Linked DNA regions of Caenorhabditis elegans. The protein of the gene in region 1 interacts with the protein of each later gene in a pairwise test. Each region holds a gene or a part of one and is shown in the gene's direction. Other genes may lie near its edges. The genes, in order: rde-4, srw-86 and pqn-70.

Region 1 (3,721 bases):
TCAAAATATTGCGAAAGTGTGAAAATTTCTAGGAAGACTTCCGTTTTATCTCAAAATATTACTAATTTGTCTCAAAAGACTGCGAACTCGTCTCCGAAGATTGAGATTTCATCTGCAAAGATTGAGATTTCGTCTCAGAATATTGCGATTTTGTCTCAAAATATTGCGAATTTGTCTCTAAATATTAAAAATGCATTCATCGACTATTCTAGAACTGTTTTGTGATAACTCGAAGAACTTTTGTTGCCATTGAGGGGAGTTGAACTTGTCCGTCGCTTGTCGTTGAGTCTATAAACCATTATCTTACCTGTTGAGCCATCCTGTACGTGTCGCATCTAGATTTAGTTATTGCTTAAGTAAATAGTTGATGGGCGCACGTCCTTTTCGTTACCTTTGATGGGAAATCAGTGACTTTTCGCAAATTTTCTAAGTGTCAGAGCGAAATTGGATAACTTTCTTTGAAAGCGAATGTGGAAAAACGATTTATTTGTTATGCTTTTAAAAAAGTTAGATGTGCAATTTTTCCGAATTTTTGTCAAAGAGAGAAAAACATTTTATTTTTTCAATATTTTTTTTCACTAACAATTTGATTAAAATGATGAGTATACTGGGAACATGCTTGCTGTTGACAATATTTTATGATTTCAATTGAAATCAGAAAATCTCAAACGCATCACGCGTGAATGAATAGTTGTAAGTCTACTTTAATATATTCGACCAATCTTCGTGATTGTTTGACTGAATTTGTAATATGACCGGCCAATTATCTAGAAAAAATTACATGAGTGGACAGATTTGTGAATTCTATGGCTTTCTCTGCAAAAACTCCTTCTACAATATGCAACGAAAAATCAAATATCCGTTAACAGTGAGATGCTCCATTATATAGATTTTCATGTAGCTGTTTTTTACTTTGAAAAGTCTTTTATCATTTGGAAGAAAAGAGAATTTAGAACGGAACAGTAATCATAATTGTTGTATATATATCACGATCATGTGAAGCCGATGGAAATTTGGAAATGGTGTTTCGTAATCTTTATGGACTGCAAAAAGATTGCAAATTAATCTTAGAATATTACACATTTTTTTGTAATATTTTTAGATTTCAGAAAGATTGCGAACCAATCTCAAAAGATTGCTATGTCATCTCAAAATATTACGAATTTTTCGTAATATTTTCAGATTCAGAAATATTGCGAATCAACCTCAAAATATTGCGAAATATTCTCAAAAGATTGCTCAATCTAAAAAGATTTCGAATAAGTCTCGGAATATTGCGATTTTATCTTGAAATATCACCCAACTACGAAAATATTGCTATTTAATATTTTCATATTAGATTTGAGTTGCCTGAGTACTACAACTTGGAAAACATATTCGTCATGTTTCGATTAAATAAATCGTTGTCTAAATCATGTTCTTACCCTTATGAGCGATGTCAAGTCGACGATTTGTGAAGATTCTTCGGTAAAGCGGTCGACTGTCTTCTCTCCTTCGTGCCGCGAACTGAACTCGCGACCAAAACATTCACTGCAAAAATAAAAAAATAAAAAAATTAATTTCAAAGTTAAAAAAATGAACTGTAAAATAAGGAAAACACTTTAAAGATCACTTTGAAAAATATATTTTATTAAAATAAATAAATTTTATTGAAGCAATCGTTATCCGAGAGGAGTACACAGCAAATCGCACAGTTGAAACAAGTGTTACCGTACCACCGGTCTCGTTGCCTTTGATGAGAAATTACCGCAAAACTTGAAAATTGAACGTTTTTTTCTTTTCGTTTCTTTAAACGAGATCCGCTATTATTTTTGTTTCAAATTATATTATTTATAGATGGATTTAACCAAACTAACGTTTGAAAGCGTTTTCGGTGGATCAGATGTTCCTATGAAGCCTTCCCGATCGGAGGATAACAAAACGCCAAGAAACAGAACAGATTTGGAGATGTTTCTGAAGAAAACTCCCCTCATGGTACTAGAAGAGGCTGCTAAGGCTGTCTATCAAAAGACGCCAACTTGGGGCACTGTCGAACTTCCTGAAGGCTTCGAGATGACGTTGATTCTGAATGAAATTACTGTAAAAGGCCAGGCAACAAGCAAGAAAGCTGCGAGACAAAAGGCTGCTGTTGAATATTTACGCAAGGTTGTGGAGAAAGGAAAGCACGAAATCTTTTTCATTCCTGGAACAACCAAAGAAGAAGCTCTTTCGAATATGTAATGCTTTCAAGTTTATCAAATTGAATTATATTTCAATTGTTTTCAGTGATCAAATATCGGATAAGGCTGAGGAATTGAAACGATCAACTTCAGATGCTGTTCAGGATAACGATAACGATGATTCGATTCCTACAAGTGCTGAATTTCCACCTGGTATTTCGCCAACCGAGAATTGGGTCGGAAAGTTGCAGGAAAAATCTCAAAAAAGCAAGCTGCAAGCCCCAATCTATGAAGATTCCAAGAATGAGAGAACCGAGCGTTTCTTGGTTATATGCACGGTAGAACTGCTAATTAATAACTCGAAAATAATAAAAAATTTCAGATGTGCAATCAAAAAACCAGAGGAATCAGAAGTAAGAAGAAGGACGCAAAGAATCTTGCAGCATGGTTGATGTGGAAAGCGTTGGAAGACGGTATCGAATCTCTGGAATCATATGATATGGGTATGCCTCCAAATAATTGTAGTTAATATTTAATTTTACTGCTTTCAGTTGATGTGATTGAAAATTTGGAAGAAGCTGAACATTTACTCGAAATTCAGGATCAAGCATCCAAGATTAAAGACAAGCATTCCGCACTGATTGATATACTCTCGGACAAGAAAAGATTTTCAGACTACAGCATGGATTTCAACGTATTATCAGTGAGCACAATGGGAATACATCAGGTGCTATTGGAAATCTCGTTCCGGCGTCTAGTTTCTCCAGACCCCGACGATTTGGAAATGGGAGCAGAACACACCCAGACTGAAGAAATTATGAAGGCTACTGCCGAGAAGGAAAAGCTACGGAAGAAGAATATGCCAGATTCCGGGCCGCTAGTGTTTGCTGGACATGGTTCATCGGCGGAAGAGGCTAAACAGTGTGCTTGTAAATCGGCGATTATCCATTTCAACACCTATGATTTCACGGATTGAAAATATTATTGCGTATTCCTGAAAAATGAAGCGTCTGAATGATTATATCCTTTTTAAATATTTTTTTGAATAATGCCATTCAGAGTTGAAACTACTCGAAATTATATTTTTGTCGTTCTTTGTGTTTTCTCTCCCTCCATTACTTTTCCTCGTGTCAATTCTACTGTGATTGTTCTTTGTGTGCCTGCCGCGTGGTAAGATTGTGTGCGAAACGTCACAGTTTTGTGCGTTATGGTTTCTATTTCTATGAAGACAATGTGCTCTCACTCCATCAACGGGCGGCTGTGTTTTATCATTACCTCCATCACTTATAGAAACAGTAAATACCAATGATGTTCTTTGTCCGTTTTCTCCCCAACGTGGTTCCATCAATCATCAATAGAATTCTATAGAAGATGCGTAATCTCTATGCCTCTGACCTCTACAAAACTCTTTTCCACACTCATTCTCTGCAGTGCACGAGAGCGAGATTTAGAGAAGAAAAGAAAAAAGTGTGCGGCCTGCGCGCCGCCCGTCCTCATTTTTGAACGAGTGTGGGTCGCGGTCGCAAATTGTTTCACCTTCACAGCGTAGTTAAAATGTTTCA
Region 2 (3,185 bases), on another chromosome or scaffold:
ATTATTACCAAATAAATCTGCGAATAACTAATTCCAGATTTGGCCGCCGCTCGCTCTCCATGAACAACCTGCCGTCAAAACGTGACTCTTAACAACTTAAAAACCTTATGAAGATCATTTTATAATTCTTTTCTGATTCCTAAATTTTTTAAATTCTTAAACTTGTATAACTCTTGAATATTTCTAATTCTTAATTTTTCTAATTCCGAAATGTTTCTAATTCTAAAATTTTTCTAATTCCAAAATTGTTTTAATTCTTTCATTTTTCTAATTCTTCGATTTTTCTAATTCTTCAATTTTTCTAATTCCAGAATTTTTCTAATTCTTACTTTTTTTTAATTCTTAAGTTTTTCTAATTCTCAAAGTTTTCTAATTCTCAAAGTTTTCTAATTCTCAAAGTTTTCTAATTCTCAAAGTTTTCTAATTCTTTAATTTTTGACTCTTGCGAAATGCGACTAATTGATGTTTAAAAACAATCCTTTTCAATAAATGATTATTAAAGATTTTGGCAATAGCAGAAGATGATAAGTTGTGTTATTACCAAAAAAATTGCGAAAAACAAATTCTCGAGAATCTCGCGTTTGCAGTGGGGCGCCCCCGCTTGCATTATTGATTTTTATGGACACTTTCTCTCTTTTTTCAGATTGAACTTTGTGAGCAAGAACATTTTGGGGTTCATTGTGGTGTGTGGTCGTTAAAAATCCATTCATATTTTGTGAAGTAGTAATTTCACAAACCGAAATTTTTTAAATTTACCAATGTGTTATGGTCTTTTACATCAAAAAATGTGGGACCATGTGAAAGGATTTTGTGCGACTTTTGCCCCGAAGTGGTTCTTTATAAATTTAGCTTAAATAAAAAGGTGGGGTCAGTCACTGGTCCGAGTGTTACGACAAACGGTTCAACTTTGTTTTCTCGACGGTTGCGCAACATTTCGACAATTCCGATAGTTATCATTTCCTCATTTCATACACACTTTCTCAGTTGATTTCATTTCAATAAGAAATGTTTTCTATGTGTGCCATGCGATTACATTTTATTACCTATTAAAACATGTGCGAAGAAAATCAACAACTTTTCCTTTGTTGGACAATAAAAAACTCATTAAATGCTCTCAAATAATAATTTCATAATCACTAGAACAATACGTCATGTAGAAAATAAGTGAAAATGAAGAAATGGAGGATCGTGTGCAAAGATTTTATACTGTTTTTTGGCATATCTTCAGGCTTTTTGTCTACAAAAAAGCCAACCAGCAGAAGAGAAATTTAAACAATAAAAAAATAGATCAGAATTTGTTTTTTCTCAGACTATTTTTTCCACACAATTCCAAGTTTTAAGAGACATTTACGGGTATGGAGTACAGTACTAGTAGAAGGATATTTTTGAGGCTCAGAGATTGATGAACTCCTTTTTAACTTGCTATTGTTCCAAAGGTGGATTTTGAAAAACTGGAAAGAAGGTTATCAGAAAATGTTTGTGATACAAGCTTTGAAAATTTACGTAAAATGATCAACCATTGGTGTTCGCCTACTTTCTGATAAATACAGTATTAATTTGCAGATTCTCTTAAAACATTCATCATTTTGGGAAAAATTGGGGGTTTCAGACAACTTTCAGATTTTCTGCATATTTTCAGGCAAGTTTCAGATAAACCGAAAGCAAACCTTTGACCTAGCCAACCAACTGCCATCTGCCTCCCTCGGGACAATCACGCAGCACCGGGCAAGTTACGGTAGGGCACGCATCGAAGAGACTGATACTAAATAACGGTGTGCGGTGAGGGGCGGAGCTAACCATGGCAAATATACTATATGTATATATACAATTTAAGAAATATTTTGTTAGATTCAATGTACATATCATTTCGTTTTGCTTTTTTTTCCATTTGTTTCTTTAATTTTCATTAGTTTCGCGGTGGCTTTTTCAAAATTTGTATTATTTGTGCAGAAAATTCGGTTTTTTTAGAATGAGATCTGCAATGCTGACATTCGAATTTAACAACAAAGAGAGTCGTTTCGCCGATTTGGGAGAAGCAAGAGATTGGCTCGAAAAGCTCGAAGAAGAAATTGCATTGATCATGGGTATGCAAGAACATTGCTCCAGACCGACCCTTACCCCGAAAGAAAGCGCTAAAAATAAAGCCGTGGTGAATTATAGTGCGGCAACCCTTGCGACTCTTCAACGTAAAAAATCTGAGTTTGAAATATTTTTGAAAAATGCTGAGGATAGTAAGTTTTATTATTACCAAAAAAATCTGCGAAGAACAAATTTCAGCATTGGCCACCGTTTCCTCTCCATGAACATTCTGCCGTCGAATGTACTCTTAACAACTCAAAAACCTTTATAACTCTTTAATTTTTTTAATTCGTAGTAAACTATTATTACAACGTTGTTTAACTATAGTTCAATAGTAACGTTGTCTTACTATTGAACTATATCTTTTCGTAAAGCCCTTTGAAATCTATAACTTCCGTTACTTACATTTTATAACCTTCTTTATTTTATTTTCTCTTCCTTCAGACATGTCTTTTACAAGATGCGACTAATTGATGTTTATAAACAATTCTATTCAATAAATAATTGTTTAGGCAATATATGATAAATGTATTATTTCCAAAAAAAAATTGCGAGGAGCAAATTTTAGAGAATCTCGCGTTTGCAGTGGGGCGCCCCCGCTTGCATTATTGATTTTTATGGACACTTTCTCTTTTTTTTCAGATTAAACTTTGCGAGCAAGAAACATTTCCAAGTTCATTGTGGTGTGTGGTCATTAAAAATCCATTCATACTTTTTGAAGTAGTAATTTCAAAAACCGAAATTATTCAAATTTACCAATGTGTTATGTGACAATTGGTAAAGGACTAAAACATTATGAAAGATGGGTGCTCGTGTGCAGGAATTTCTCACAATTTTTAGTTCTAATTTAAGTATGCGTCATGTGACAGTTTGGACAGGTATCTTACACCAAAAAAATGGGGGACCATGTGTGAGGATTTTGTGCGACTTTTGCCCCGAAGTGGTTCTTTATAAATTTAGCTCAAGTAAAAAGGTGGGGTCAGCCACTGGTCCGAGTGTTACGACAAACGGTTCAACTTTGTTTTCTCGACTGTTGCGCAACATTTCGAAAATTCCGACGGTTATCATTTCCTCATTTTTTACACACTTCCTCCGTTGATGTCATT
Region 3 (4,732 bases), on another chromosome or scaffold:
ATTGAATCGATGCTATAATATAAGACTAGTAAAAATTGTTTGATCGACTTTCAAAATTTGAGAGATGAAAACTGAGTTTTCCTAACTTTTCGACTGTAAAAATTGTACTAATATCCACATGTAAGAGATATTATTTTTATCACTACTAGACAATTCCGCACAAAAATCGAAAAATCGGCAAAAAAACTTGTCTCTGCAATAATGAAAGTGATAGACTGCCATAAAGATATAAAATTTGAATCTTAAAAAGGGATTCGCAGTGCGAACACCTATACAACAAAACTTTATCAGTGAACAAAAAGTGATGGGTGTGTTGCGAGGATTGTCTCGCTTGTCCTGTTAACATATCTCTAAATCTCTGCATATCACATTAGCACTCATTGTCTGCTCCGTATGATTTCAAGTGCTCACACGGTACAGAGCCGGAGTCAGAGTTTTTGAAAAAGATGGCGGAATGCATGAGAACATGTGTTTACTTCTTTTGGAAAATTTATAAAATTATTGTTGAATGTTATTGTATGTAATTTTTATAAAAATAGTTCTTATTATGTAACATCATCAAATCAGTAAGATGAAGACCTCATCAAGTCGAATATCAGAAAGAATGTGCAAGGTTGACTAAAAACTTCTAGATATTTTCCTTTTTTCCATTAAAAATATGCCTCCAAAGAATAACATACAACAATAATTTTATAAATTTTCGCTGTTAGATTGTCCCATAACGGTTTGATCTACAAACAATGGGACATCAGCACGTTCTTAATCATGCGAAATCAGTTGAGGAGATAGTGTCTAAATTCACGCACGCAATTCTAGTAGGTCTAAGTAGAACAAATCGAAATGGGACACTCTGACACCACGTGAGTACCTTAAAATGTATTTAACCGAATTTTGCCGTTAATTTTTGTTTGCTTTCGAATATATATATTTTTTTTAAAAGTATCTTTATCTTTGTTTGACTTATGTGTTTTTTATTGAGATCAAGTTCTACACTTAAGCCAAATATACATTGTCTCATTCCTTATCTACATTTTGACCTCACCATGGTTTTTTCTTTGTTTAAACATGTTTGTTCACTTTTTTCCGTTCATAGAAAAGCCCCTCACAACTCTCTCTATATATATGGTTTTTCGTAAAGAGACACCACCAATTGGGTAGAACGGAAAAGTGAGCTTTTCTATCGTTTAGATACATATTGGAGTAATCCTTTGCTTTTTCTAGCACTTTCCGCTTTGAAAACATTCATTATATTTTAAAATATAAATGCGACCTCGATAATGTCTTAAGAATCGCTAGAGTGGAAATATGTGCATGGTCGAGTTTTAACTTTACAGTTGAGAGCAATTTTTCATTGGATACGACGATAAATTCTGGGTTTTGGGAAAAAATATTAAAAGTTCCATTTTGAAATCAATATTATAAATCTATTTTTTGATGTCTATTTCCCCATATCTCGATATCGCCCACTTCGTATTTCTCAACGAGAAGAGGTGTCTCCTTTCAATTTCCATTTAAAGGGGCGACCAATTCTACCGACTGCAGGTCTCGCAGCGATATCTGCGCCCTCCACCTGATGCGTACTCTTTTTACTCGTTCCGTATCGATCGCCGCTGTGGAGAACACTGAACGAACGCTGTCTCGTGATTAAATAACCAGCCACACGTCTTTCCTTTTACATTTATTTCTTTATTTCTTTATTTCTTCTCGTTTTGTCGCTTTTTACTCATTAAATATTATTTTTTTTTTTACAGAAACTTCGTCGAAATGGGTTCATCTGGAATGGGAGTTGATGCGAATGGAAAGCCAATCAAGAGACAGCCTACAACTAATAATAACAACAAGAAAGCTGGAAACAACAGCAACAACCAGAAAAAAGGAAATAATGTAAGCACTTTCTCATTTAACTTCACTAATATCAAGTTTTCACGATTATATTTCGATTCACTCGTTCTAAAAAATTAAATTGTTTTTTTTCAGCAAAACAACAAAAATAATAAGAACCAGAATGGAGGAAATCGCAACCAAAATCGCCAACATCACCAGCCTCCAATGATGCAAATGGTTCCACCCTTCGGCCCAATGGGACCAGGAGGACCAGGAGGACCAGGATTCATGGGCCCACCGAATGGAAACATGAACTTCTTCAACGGACAAAATCGTCGTAATGGCAGTGGAAAGGTATTTTTGAGGAAAATCCTTGTTTCTCCTGTTCTTCGCAATGTCTTGGACGCTTTATATCAGTTTCTTCAAATCTTGAGCCAGCCCACCGGATTCTCTAAGTTAGACCTAAATATATAGCGATCAAAATGATCAGATAAGTTACCAGAAGATGATTAAAAATAAAATTTGATTATATTACTATTGGGCGATATTTCTGCTGAATTCAGAAATTTAATAATTTTTCACAACATTTTGACGAATTCGTCCATTTCTGGTCGCAGTAAAGAGTCTTGCTTTGACATAGGACTTCAAGATTCTTTCCGACGTACAGGTTTTCTTGATTAGGGCTTTAAAGAAATGTTTTAGAGAATGGAGAAGAATCGTAAATGACGGTGGTGACTGGCTCAATGAATTCTTAATTCGTGTTGCTCAATAAGAGTAAAAATGCTCTCGGATCTTTTGATCCTTTTTATACCACATTCTTCAGGCATATCGGTTTCTTGGCTCTAATCATCAAATGAAAAAAAAACAGTTCTCCATTTTTGTTAATTTCAGATGTATTAATTCAAAAAATTTACTTTTCAATTTCCAAAAAGAGCAAGTGCTCGATGTTTTCTTTCAAATTTTTTTGTTATATTGTTAAATTGAAAAGAAAAACAAAATTTGCATTCACCGTAAAGTGAAACTTTTTTTTTGCGATTTAAAATATTACTAGTTAGATTCACCATATATTTCGGAAGAGTCTCTAGTTCCAAAATCCATGAGTAGTAAATGACGGTCTCTGTCTCCGTTGTATGATACAACTCCTCACTCGATGTATGTAATGAACAAGAAGTTTGCAGAACAACGGCAATAGAAATGGAGCCCCACCTTCAGGTCTAGTTATGTTTTCATAATGAAACGAGTGTCATTTATTTTCTTTTGATTGTTTTCTATCAGAGATTCAAATAATCTCCGTAAAAAATTACTGTTGTTAAAAGGGGACACTCTGACATCTCAAAAGATATTTCGAACTTCAAAAAAAGGCTCTAGACCGCGTGGCTAAAAATATTTTTAGGAAAATAAAAAATGAAGTATAAAAATTGAGGAGATACTAAATTTTGTTCCTAACACAATTCCCAAAAGAAACTTCGATATTTCCATCGAATTCTTTTTAAATAAATAGTCCATCGAGACTTAAAGTTTATTTTTAAAAAATTTGAAAATCAAAGATGATTGTCGCAGTAGTGTCCCCAAACAACATTTACTTTCGAGTCTAAAATTCAAATCCTTGTAGTTTTTTAGTTTTATTAGTAGATCTGCTCTCTTACCAATGAGAGCCAATATGTATTTTCTCTTTTCAACAATATTATTTTCAGGATACAATGGACCATCGGCTAACAATGTGGGACAAGGAGCTATTGGAAATAACATGAACGTAAGAAAACAACTTTTTGATGTTAAAATAATCGTATTTGAATTTAAGGGCGCTCAACCATTTGCTGGACCAGAACCATCAATGGAAGTTCCTGGATTCGGAAAGAACAGCAACATTCATGAACTTTTCGGAAAGATGATCTGGAGAAAAATGGAACAGATCAATGACGCCGCTCTTGTCGATCAACTCCAGAATCGGATAATGAACCTGATCCATGATGCCCTGGCTAGTCAGAACGATAAGCAACAACAACAACAACAGCAGCAACATCAACGTATGTTTTATTTCGGAAAGCAGACGAATTTAAAAAATTTATATTTTCAGAAGGATTCAATCAACAAAGAGGAATGCCGTTCGGAGGACCAGGAAACCAAAATGGACCATTCGGAAACAACGCTGGATTCCAACGTTTTTAAAAGAATAAAATTCTGATCTCTTCTGTTCATCCCTTTAAATGTTATTTTGCTTCTGAAATTTCGAAAAAATGTAATTCTAATCTCCGAACTTTTGTCAGTCTGATTCTCTCTTACACATGTGTTTTATAATAAATCCGATCCGTCCCAATAAGATTCATTTGTTTACAAAAAATGTGGTTTACAGCGAACGAGTCGATGGGCCGAAGGACAGTTGACAAAATGATTGAAATGTCGGGTGGAAAAGTGACACCTCTTCTTTCTAATTCAGACAAGAAAAGAGATATTCTGAGTTTTGTTTGTCTTTCTCGTTTCTCCAATGTTCTCAAGAAAAGTTTATATTTGTTAATTTTCTTTTGTTTATCATTCGAATCAATTGGGTTTTCTTCGTTATCATTGTTTTCAGATGCACTCTTTTCTTCATTAAATGTTAAAATTTTGTATAGATTTCAGATGGAATTATGGAAAAGCTGTATATTTCTGTTTTTAAATTTTTGCATTCAATCTGAAGGTATCGTCAGAACAAGTTACGGCAATTGGAATATTCCAAAAATTGGTGATAGGTAAATATTCAAAAGATCCGGGTTCCGTAAGGACAGACTATCTTTTTTTTAAATCATAAATTTTCAGTCAAAGTTTTGGCAGAATGTCAAATTTTGCAAAAATGCAGATTTTTTGATAAATTCCAATCATTGACACAGGTTCGAAACCATACGATGTTCAAATTTAAAAGTTGGAATAC

Evidence for each region.
Region 2: the proteins of rde-4 (region 1) and srw-86 interact in a two-hybrid assay, tested with the Caenorhabditis elegans proteins (one study listed by BioGRID).
Region 3: the proteins of rde-4 (region 1) and pqn-70 interact in a two-hybrid assay, tested with the Caenorhabditis elegans proteins (one study listed by BioGRID).

The regions. Positions count from the first base shown.
Region 1 is NC_003281.10:10,216,760-10,220,480, reverse strand, and holds rde-4 (DRBM domain-containing protein), read left to right. Parts: upstream 1-1,834; 5' UTR 1,835-1,836; coding exon 1,837-2,216; intron 2,217-2,265; coding exon 2,266-2,497; intron 2,498-2,541; coding exon 2,542-2,662; intron 2,663-2,710; coding exon 2,711-3,135; 3' UTR 3,136-3,179; downstream 3,180-3,721. Other genes in the region: cox-14 (Cytochrome c oxidase assembly factor 3), read right to left, coding at 1,425-1,527.
Region 2 is NC_003283.11:19,399,497-19,402,681, reverse strand, and holds srw-86 (PH domain-containing protein), read left to right. Parts: upstream 1-1,962; 5' UTR 1,963-1,981; coding exon 1,982-2,231; intron 2,232-2,277; coding exon 2,278-2,303; 3' UTR 2,304-2,605; downstream 2,606-3,185. Other genes in the region: C25F9.12 (PH domain-containing protein), read left to right, coding at 38-63.
Region 3 is NC_003283.11:11,225,723-11,230,454, reverse strand, and holds pqn-70 (Prion-like-(Q/N-rich)-domain-bearing protein), read left to right. Parts: upstream 1-1,751; 5' UTR 1,752-1,764; coding exon 1,765-1,884; intron 1,885-1,977; coding exon 1,978-2,178; exon of another isoform or gene 2,179-3,002; coding exon 3,003-3,036; exon of another isoform or gene 3,037-3,518; coding exon 3,519-3,577; intron 3,578-3,625; coding exon 3,626-3,851; intron 3,852-3,901; coding exon 3,902-3,993; 3' UTR 3,994-4,139; downstream 4,140-4,732. Other genes in the region: bgal-1 (Beta-galactosidase), read left to right, coding at 4,444-4,553.